2 linked regions of the Oryctolagus cuniculus genome follow. The protein of the gene in region 2 purifies or fractionates together with the protein of the main gene of each other region. This does not show direct contact. Links are inferred from orthologs where the notes say so. Each region holds a gene or a part of one and is shown on either strand. Other genes may lie near its edges.

Region 1 (4,085 bases), on a different chromosome or scaffold from region 2:
GAGCTGCCCCCTCCCCCACTGCCCAGACGGGGTGCGACCGCCCACGTGTCGCCCCTCGCCCAGCCTAGTCCTTCTCTCGGGCTCCCGAGCCCGCGGATCCGGAACGAGTTGGTCAAAGACGAGGGAAGGGATCTGGGCGGATCCGCTTCCCCCTCCCCAGGAACGGGCGAGCGGGAGGGACCGCCGCCCCCTCCCAGAAGCTCCCGCCCCTCGCTTCCCCCAGCGCGGAGCGGAAATTACCCCCTCCCCCCGCGGGTCTGACCTGGGGACGTGGGCGGGGCTTCGCGCTGGGCCCCCGCCCTCCGCCCCTCTCCCGCCTTCCCGAATCCTGCGCCCCAAACAAAGTTCCGAGACCCAAACCCAGCGCCCGCCGGAGTCGTGGCGGCGTCCCGGGGCAGGGTGCGGGCGCAGGGGACTCCACCTGTCTGCCCCCGCCTTGGGGGGCTGGGGGCCCGCTCGGGTCTCCACCCGATTGCACCCCGCCTGCGCTCCCCTACTCGGTCCGCTTGGGTTAGCCGGAGCTGCCACCCGGTTCCCTCGGTCCTGGGGTCGTCCCAGCCGGAGCTGCGCGGTCCCCCGGGAACCCGAACATTATCATTTAGTGGCTAGTACCCCGACACGGGCCCGCGCTTCTCCAGGGGTGTCCGGAACACTATTTCCTGTGAGCTCCTGCTAACCCGCGGCGATCCCCCGTGTTCGCAGGGCCCCGGGTCCTGGATCCCAAGAGGTGGGGGAGGCTCGCGGGGCTGGGGCGGGGAAGGGAAGACCTCCCCCGCCCCCGCTTCGAAACCTAAGGAAAAGGCGCCTTTCTTTTGAAATCACCGGCTCGTGCGACCCCCTCCTGAAGACCCCAGAGTCCCCGGCTTCTCTTTGTCTGTCTTGGTCGTCCCCCGCCTGTCAGTCGCTAGCAGTTAACCGGGTGGGGTAGGCAATCCCGCGCCCCAAAACCAGTGGAAAAATGACCACACGTTTCGCCCCAAAGACGGGAGATTGGGGGCTCGACCACCCTCCCCCAGTTCAGGCTGGGGTAGAGGCAGGGGGAAGGGTGGGGGCGGGGCGCATCCCCGGGGGCCAGGTTCCTGCCAAGGGGGAGGGGGCGGGCAGAGCCTCGGGAGCGTTGCACACCCACCCCCCGCCGCCGCCGCCCCAGTTCCCTCTGAGCGTGAGCCGAGTGCCCCCTCCCTGCCCCCGGGAGGGAAGCTGTTGGGCCGGGCCGGGTTTTCTGGGCAGTGGGGCCCTGTGGCGTCGGGGGTCTTCCCCTGCAGGGTGGGTGGGGGCTGTCACCACGTGGCTTCGGCCTTTTTTTTTTTTTCCGCTCCATTTTTTTTTCAAGTCGGTTTTATTTAGAGGCGGCGCCAGGGCGGCCGCGGAGAAACGTGACACGCCAGCCCGCTCGCAGGGGTTTCGGAGCGAAGGCGAGGAGCAGCGCCGCGCCGTCCGCCTCCCAGCGCGCCGCGGGCACTTTCCGGGCTCCCCCGAACTCCGCCGCGACCTCCGCGCGCCCTCCTGCCGCCCTCCGCGCCCGGGGCTCCGGGCACACTCCCGGGCGGGGTGCACACAAAGTTTGCGGCCGCCGCCGGCCTCCCCGCGCTCGGCCTAGGCGGCTCGCCGCCCGCCCGCCCGCTCGGCCTCGCCCGGCACCGCGTCCTGCCCCGCCGCCGCCACCATGAACAAGCTATACATCGGCAACCTCAACGAGAGCGTGACCCCCGCGGACTTGGAGAAAGTGTTTGCGGAGCACAAGATCTCCTACAGCGGCCAGTTCCTGGTCAAATCCGGCTACGCCTTCGTGGACTGCCCGGACGAGCATTGGGCGATGAAGGCCATCGAAACTTTCTCGGGTAAGCGCGCGGGCCGCCTCCCCGAGCCCCGGGCCGGTTCCCGTACAACGGAGGCCTGTGTTCCGAACCCCCCCCTTCTCCGCCGCCCCGGCCGCCAACTGCTCGTTCAGCGAGCATGCGGGGCCCGGCCTCGCCGCTGACCCTCGACCTGCCGCCTTCGACGCCCCCGCCCCCTCCCGGGAATATTCGGGATTTCCCCACCCTCGGTGGGCTGCTCGGGCTCCCTTCAATCTCCACTCCCATCGCCGGGGCTGCAGCCCCCCTCGGCGGTGGCGGGGGGTGGGTGGTGGTCCGAGGGCCACGAGACGACCCCGTCTGGGCGCTCGCTGCATGTTCAGCCCCTCCCTAGCAGCCGCCAGACGGCCCCCCAGCTGGAGCACCCTCGCTCCCTTCCTAACCCTAGGCCTTCCCGGGCGCGGAAGGGGTCCCCGCCCGATCCCCGAGCTCCCCGCCGTCCGTGGGGATCACAGCCCTCGGGCAAGACTGGGGAGGAAGGGGATCCCGCCTCCCGCCCAGGGCCCGGGGCTTGAGCCATTTTGATTTGAAAGTGGGGCGTGAGCGGTGGCGCGGCGGCGCGGGTCGCCATGCTGCTAACCGAGACGCCGAGGCTGGGCCGAGAGGCGCGCGGCGCGGGACCCTCCCCGCCAGGCCCCGCGCGGCTCCCCCGGGGCCTCGGCGTTGCAACCCGCCCGACAGGTGACCGCCCTGCCGCCCGAAGCCCTTGTCCTACGCGCCACAGTAAAATAAAGTTTGATTCTGCACCCCCCCTCCCCGAGCAGCGGGAAGTCCTTTCTCTGCTGGCTGCGGCTCCGCACATCTGGGAGCCGAACGGGTAGAGCGCCCGCACAGATCACCTCGAACCTTTCCCGGTTCGGGTTCTCCTAGCGATTCACGCCACCAGCTCCGTGGTGACGCAAAGCAGAAATTAAGAGAACATAATAACGAATTGATGGCATCCGGCTGCGGGCGCCACTGACTTGCTTCCGAGGAGAAATCGGGTCCCAGGAACTTGAATTTCCCGAGAGCCCCCTGCCTCAACACCCCTGCCCCTGTTCACGCGCTCACGCTAATTTTTTTTTTTAATCTTTAGGAAAAGTAGAATTACAAGGAAAACGCTTAGAAATTGAACATTCGGTTCCCAAAAAACAAAGGTAGGAAAGAGCGCTTCTCTTCTCTGGGGGGGCGGGGGGAAGGGGACAGAGGTTGGCGAGAGGCCGTGGTCGGGGGTCCACAGCGTCCCCGGGGGCTGAGACCTGGCGTTGGCTTCTCATCCCTCGACTCGGGATGTTGGGGGCTGGGAGGCAAGACTGGAGATCTTGTCATGGGTGGTTTACAGCTTGGAAAAGCAGGAGAAGTTGGGGATGGGGTGGGCAAACAGGCGGTACCTGCAGACTCACAGGGGAGAGAATCAAGCAGAGGGAAGCACCTCGTGGGGCTTGCCTCAAGTGTGGGGCCATTTTGGTGCGGAAGCTTAAAATCTTAGTTCAGGCTTCCTGCAGGCCCCATTTTCCGTCAGGCAGGGTGGTTCGGAAGTGGACTTAGGGGATCCCTTTCTACTCCACTCTGGTGGAGACACAGGTCTGCCCCGCGCACCACCACCCCCCCCCCCCGCCCCGCAGAATTCCCTTACCCTTTATTTATATTTCTGCAACAGGCAGAGACTTCCTACAGACTGCCGCCCCCAGTTCCTCCCACCCCCTCCCCACCCCCACCCCCACTGGCTTTCCCTGAGAATATGCTTTGGCCCTCCTGTCCTGTGGCGGCCCCCACCCCGGCTCCTGCAGCCCATTGTTACCAGGGGGCCATCTGGGGTGAGAGCTTTGTGTTAGGGCTGTGAGCTGGGGCTCTTTGGAGGATCTAGAACTCCGTGGATGAATGGTGTGTGTGTGTGCGCGCGCGCGGGCTTGCGCGCACCCGTACTCCTTATCCTTGGGCCAAACAGGGTGCTTTCTGAGAATTCATGGCGGATTTCGCATCTTTCATTGAACTCTGAAATCTCGAGTTGAGCTCTGGCTAAGGAAGTGTAAGCACAGCCTTCTCTAGTTTCCCAAGCGTGGTGACAGTACCGAGTCTTCTGCTGTTGCCGGCTGGGTTGGCAGTGGCCCCCTGGAAGGCTTCCATCCCCCTTCCCCCTTCGGAAGCAGTTCTTTTTCTAAGTGGGAAGGGGGTGTGTTTGGGGGTGGCTTTGCTTTTAGAGGGGTGGTTAAGAGGATCTCCAAAGTTTAACCAGAGATAGAAATCTGT
Region 2 (4,117 bases):
TGCTGGGTGGAGGACGACAGGCGAGCATGGGCGTGAACGGCCCTGCAGTGCAGACGCAGCTACTACCTGTGGCCCCTTCCCTGCTAATGATATGCTTGCTTGCCCACTCACATACTGAAGTGCTCCTTCTGGGGCTTTCTGGCTTCTCTCAGTGACTGACTCGCTTCCAGGGTCACACTCAGACCCAGAGTCAGCCAGTCTTCTCTCCCTCATGTTCCACACCTCCAAACCCATGAGCCCTGTGTCCTTCCCCCCAGTGTCCCCTCTCTGTCTCAGCACTGCAGCCCTGGATCACATCACCAGCTTTCTGGACCTAAAGCAAGGGTGGGCAATGTCTAGCCCAAGGGCTGTATAAGGCCTGTGAAACCATTTGATCTGACCCTGCCAAGGCAACCACAGGTGGGACTTGAAATCCAATAGTCTATAGCAGGCTAATTTTTAAGTTGATAACTTTGTATTGCTTGTGAATATTATAAACATCTAAATGGACCTTTGTGGGGGGAAAAAAAGGTCCCTCACCCATGCTCTAAAGGAAACCAACTGTCCCCTAATTGGTTTTCTGACGTTGAGCTCTGCCCACCTCCAGCTTTTTCTGGGCGGGACAAAGCTCTCTGTGTGCAGAATGACTCCCTCTGTGACCAACACTGCTCAGTAGTGTCCCAGGCCTGCCACAGAGGGTGGCAGCCAAACCCTCTGCCCGCAAGTGGCAGCAGTAGCCCCGCCACGGCTCCCTTCACCCTTCCTGCCCTAAAGTCCCAGACCCTATGTGTACCTGGACAAGCTGAGACAGGCCCCATCCATGCCCAAGCCCCTCCCCCTGGCTAACTCCTCCTCACCTCTCTCTCTTCATCTCCTCCAGCAGGCAGTCTGGGCTGTCTGTGCCCACCTCGGCTTGGGTTAACAGCTCCCTCTTCTGTGGCCTCTGTGTCAGCCAGAGCCTAATTGTCACAGCATTGGCTAGTGAGCTGAGATGATCCACACACACACACACACAGTGTACATCATCATCTCCCCAGAGCCTAGCACAGGGCCCAGGACGCAGTGGCACAGGGAAAGTTATTCAAAGGAGAGAAACAAGACTCACTTCCCCTCTACCCGCTGGTTTCCTTGTCTTCTGACCCACAGCCTCCTGTCGGGCCTGCCGTTTCAGGCCTGCCACCTAGGGGCGGAAGGAGGGCACTGCGCTTCTCTCACCATTCAGCGGTGAATTCCATAAATTGAATGGGAAGGGCAAGTTGATGCCGGTGCGGGGCGAAGGAACGGGGAGTGGGCTCTGAGCTGGGGCATGGAGCACAAGGAAGTGATCCTTAGCTGGAAGACAGTGGCATCTCCCAGGCAGAGAGCGCGACAGCAGGGAGGCCTGGACTCTGGGGCACTGGTACAATGATGTCAGGAAGGGAGGGAGGGCTGAGTGTGAAAGAACAGGCAGCCAAGCCTAAGGAGCCCTGATTTTTATCCTTTAAGTCACCTGAAGAGGCCAAGAAAATTTGTTTTTCAGGTCAAAAATTTGCAATCAGGAGTGGCACTGCCGGACCTGCCCTGACAGAAGACAGTTGGCAAGGGAGTGTGGAAAGCCAACTTTGCTAGACATGGCAGCAGGGAGCAAGAACAGCCGCGAAGCAAGCAGCAGAAGCCAGGAATTTCTTAACCGGCTCATTTTCCCCTTGCTGCGCTATGGCCTCAGACTCAACACAGCTAAAGTAAAACTCTGCTCCCTCAAAACCAGTGCTTCAACCTCAACACAATTTCCTTGCACACTTAGAGATGTTAGGCTTCTCAGTCTCTCCATGGACCTCAAAATGGTAGTTTTAAAGCAGGTATCAGGCCAGAGCTTGGCCTGTGGCGGTTCGATGACAGCTGAATGGAATCCCCAGAAACACCACCTGCTGGGCCCCTGTGGTTAAGATTGAGTCTGAGAGCCTGAATTCAAACCCCACCTTGGCCACATTAGCAGAAGAGCACATCAGGCCACGCAGCTGAACCTCGGTTTCTGCATCTCTAAAATGGAAATTACAACAGCACCTACCTGGAGGGCTGGAGTCAAGCACAGTCAGTTCTCAATAAACCCTGGCGCTGACTCCTGCCAGGCGCCAGGCCACGCACAACGCTAGGGGGGCCAGCACCATACCGCCTTCCTCACTATTCTGTAGCTAAAGCCCAACACAGTTCATCTCAAGGTCTTGGGAACACCTCTCAAAGGATCAGAGAGAGGGCTGGAGGAACTTTTCCTGGAAGATCAGACACTTTAGTGAGACAGCAAGAGAGACCCCACCCCCTGGGGGGGAAGGCATCTGGCAATGTCTGGAGACATTTTGGATGCTTGCGCTGGGGGAGGGGAGAGGCGGGGTCGCTAAAGGGTAAAAGCCAGGGATGCTCTCAACTCCCCACAACGCACAGAGCAGCCCCGGCCAACCAAGACCTGACCCCAACCATCCCGAGTGCGGACGCTGCGGAGTCAATCCCATCCCCATTTCTGGAACACTGGCCGTCCAAATCCCACGTGAGGACTCACTCAGCGGGAGATGCGGCGGCGGCTCTGTCCCTCCAGGGACGGCCGTGCCCAAGTTCCTCTCCACCTGCCGGGCACACAGTAGGTATCAAAGACCGTTTTAATAAGCCTCGCCACAGCGGGCACCGGAAAAGGAGGGACGAGCATCCATCCATTGTTCAACTGCGTGCAGTTTCGTGTTCTAAACACACACACATTTTACAAAAACAAACGTCCCACGCCCCACGAACAGCTTTGTTAAGAGATGGCGCTCAAAAAAAATACGTTTTTTCCGCCTCAAGGGCTCCCCTGCAGATCAAGGGGTTTGCACACTTATAAAAGGGCCGCGGGCCGGCCGCCGGTCCTCTGACAACGGCCACAAAAGAATCTGTGGGATTTCCCAGGGGAGCGAGCCGGTGGGCCGTGACCTCTGCGCGCTCAAAGCGTTCTCCTCACTCCCCCGCCCCCGGATCCCGGGCTTCCAAGGCTACCGGAGCCGCGGCCGCGGAGCCCGGCCCCCAGGCGCGTGCCCACGCCGCGTTCCCCTCGCGGCGCCCCAGGAATCCGGCCCGGGGCCTGCCGCCGGCGCCCACATTGGCCAGCCCCCGCCCGCCCCGCCCGGCGCGGCCCGCGCGCGTCCCCTCCAGGCCCCGGCGCGGCCTGGGCCTCGACCGGTGCAGGCCCGCGGGCGCCCGCGGCCAGGCCAGGCCAAGCGAGCGCAGGCCTGCCGCGGCCTACCCTGCCGGGCGCCTCCAAAAGCCCCCCTGCTTCACCTGGTCGCGGGCGGGCGGGCCCGGGGCTGCTCCGGGACGTGCGGGCGGCGGCTGCGGCGAGGCGCTAACGGCTCCGCTCGGCCTCGGTAGCGGTGGCGGCGGCGGCAGCGACGGCGACGGCGGCGGCTCCTCCTCAGCGCGCACGACCCGCTCCGGCCCGCGGCCCGGACACGCCCCCCCGGCGCGCGCGCCTATTGGTCTGCGTCCGCCACGGCGCGCCGCTCATTGGCAGGCTTGGCTGTCGCTGCGCTCCGGGGCGCGCGGAGGAGGCGGGACTTCCGGTAGGCGCCGCCTGCGAAGGCTCAGAGGCCGGCGGAGACGCGGGTGGCCAGCGATGGCCGCGAAGGGGGCGAGTAGGGGCCTAGCCCAGGAGGCCGACTCGAGGTGGTGGGCGAGGAGCGGCGTTCCTTGTCGAGCACTTGCCTTGTGCCTCACACCTGTCTGCCTCGCTGCAGCTGCCGCCCAGCAAGGTAGGAAGGGTCGGCGGGCCTTGGCTGTGGGGAGAAGACCCGGGTTCGAATCCCGGCCCGGACGTTGCCCACTGCTGCCGTTGGCCAGGGGCTGACGTCACCTCGCCAGGCCTCAGTTTCCTGATCTTGCACGGTGGGGAGGCGGGACAAGGGAAGTGGTGAAGTGCTCCAGCAGGGCTGGCTGTTAGGGCCTCACGTTTCTTCACTTAAGTTGTACTGAGCACCTGCTGTGTGTGCCAGTCCCTGTAGGGGCAGTGAGTGGACAAAAATGCATGCTATGAGAAAACCATGCATGGATTTCAAGACATTTCGCGCCAAAATAAACTTACCTCTCAATTCCACTTTCCCACCTCTTGTTTTGAGATACCCCCTGTATGCAAGTCACA

The links. The genes of interacting proteins can lie anywhere in the genome.
Region 1: the proteins of ELAVL1 (region 2) and IGF2BP1 purify together in Homo sapiens (co-immunoprecipitation; 3 studies listed by BioGRID and IntAct, with this or other methods). This does not show direct contact. The link is inferred for Oryctolagus cuniculus from reciprocal best matches to the Homo sapiens genes ELAVL1 and IGF2BP1.

What each region holds. Positions count from the first base shown.
Region 1 is NC_091448.1:25,185,142-25,189,226, forward strand, and holds the start of IGF2BP1 (insulin-like growth factor 2 mRNA-binding protein 1), read left to right. Parts: upstream 1-1,279; 5' UTR 1,280-1,666; coding exon 1,667-1,841; intron 1,842-2,931; coding exon 2,932-2,992; intron 2,993-4,085. UniProt on the Homo sapiens protein: RNA-binding factor that recruits target transcripts to cytoplasmic protein-RNA complexes (mRNPs). This transcript 'caging' into mRNPs allows mRNA transport and transient storage.
Region 2 is NW_027208201.1:4,186,155-4,190,271, forward strand, and holds the start of ELAVL1 (ELAV-like protein 1), read right to left. Parts: upstream 2,803-4,117; 5' UTR 2,665-2,802; coding exon 2,513-2,664; intron 939-2,512; coding exon 837-938; intron 1-836. UniProt on the Homo sapiens protein: RNA-binding protein that binds to the 3'-UTR region of mRNAs and increases their stability.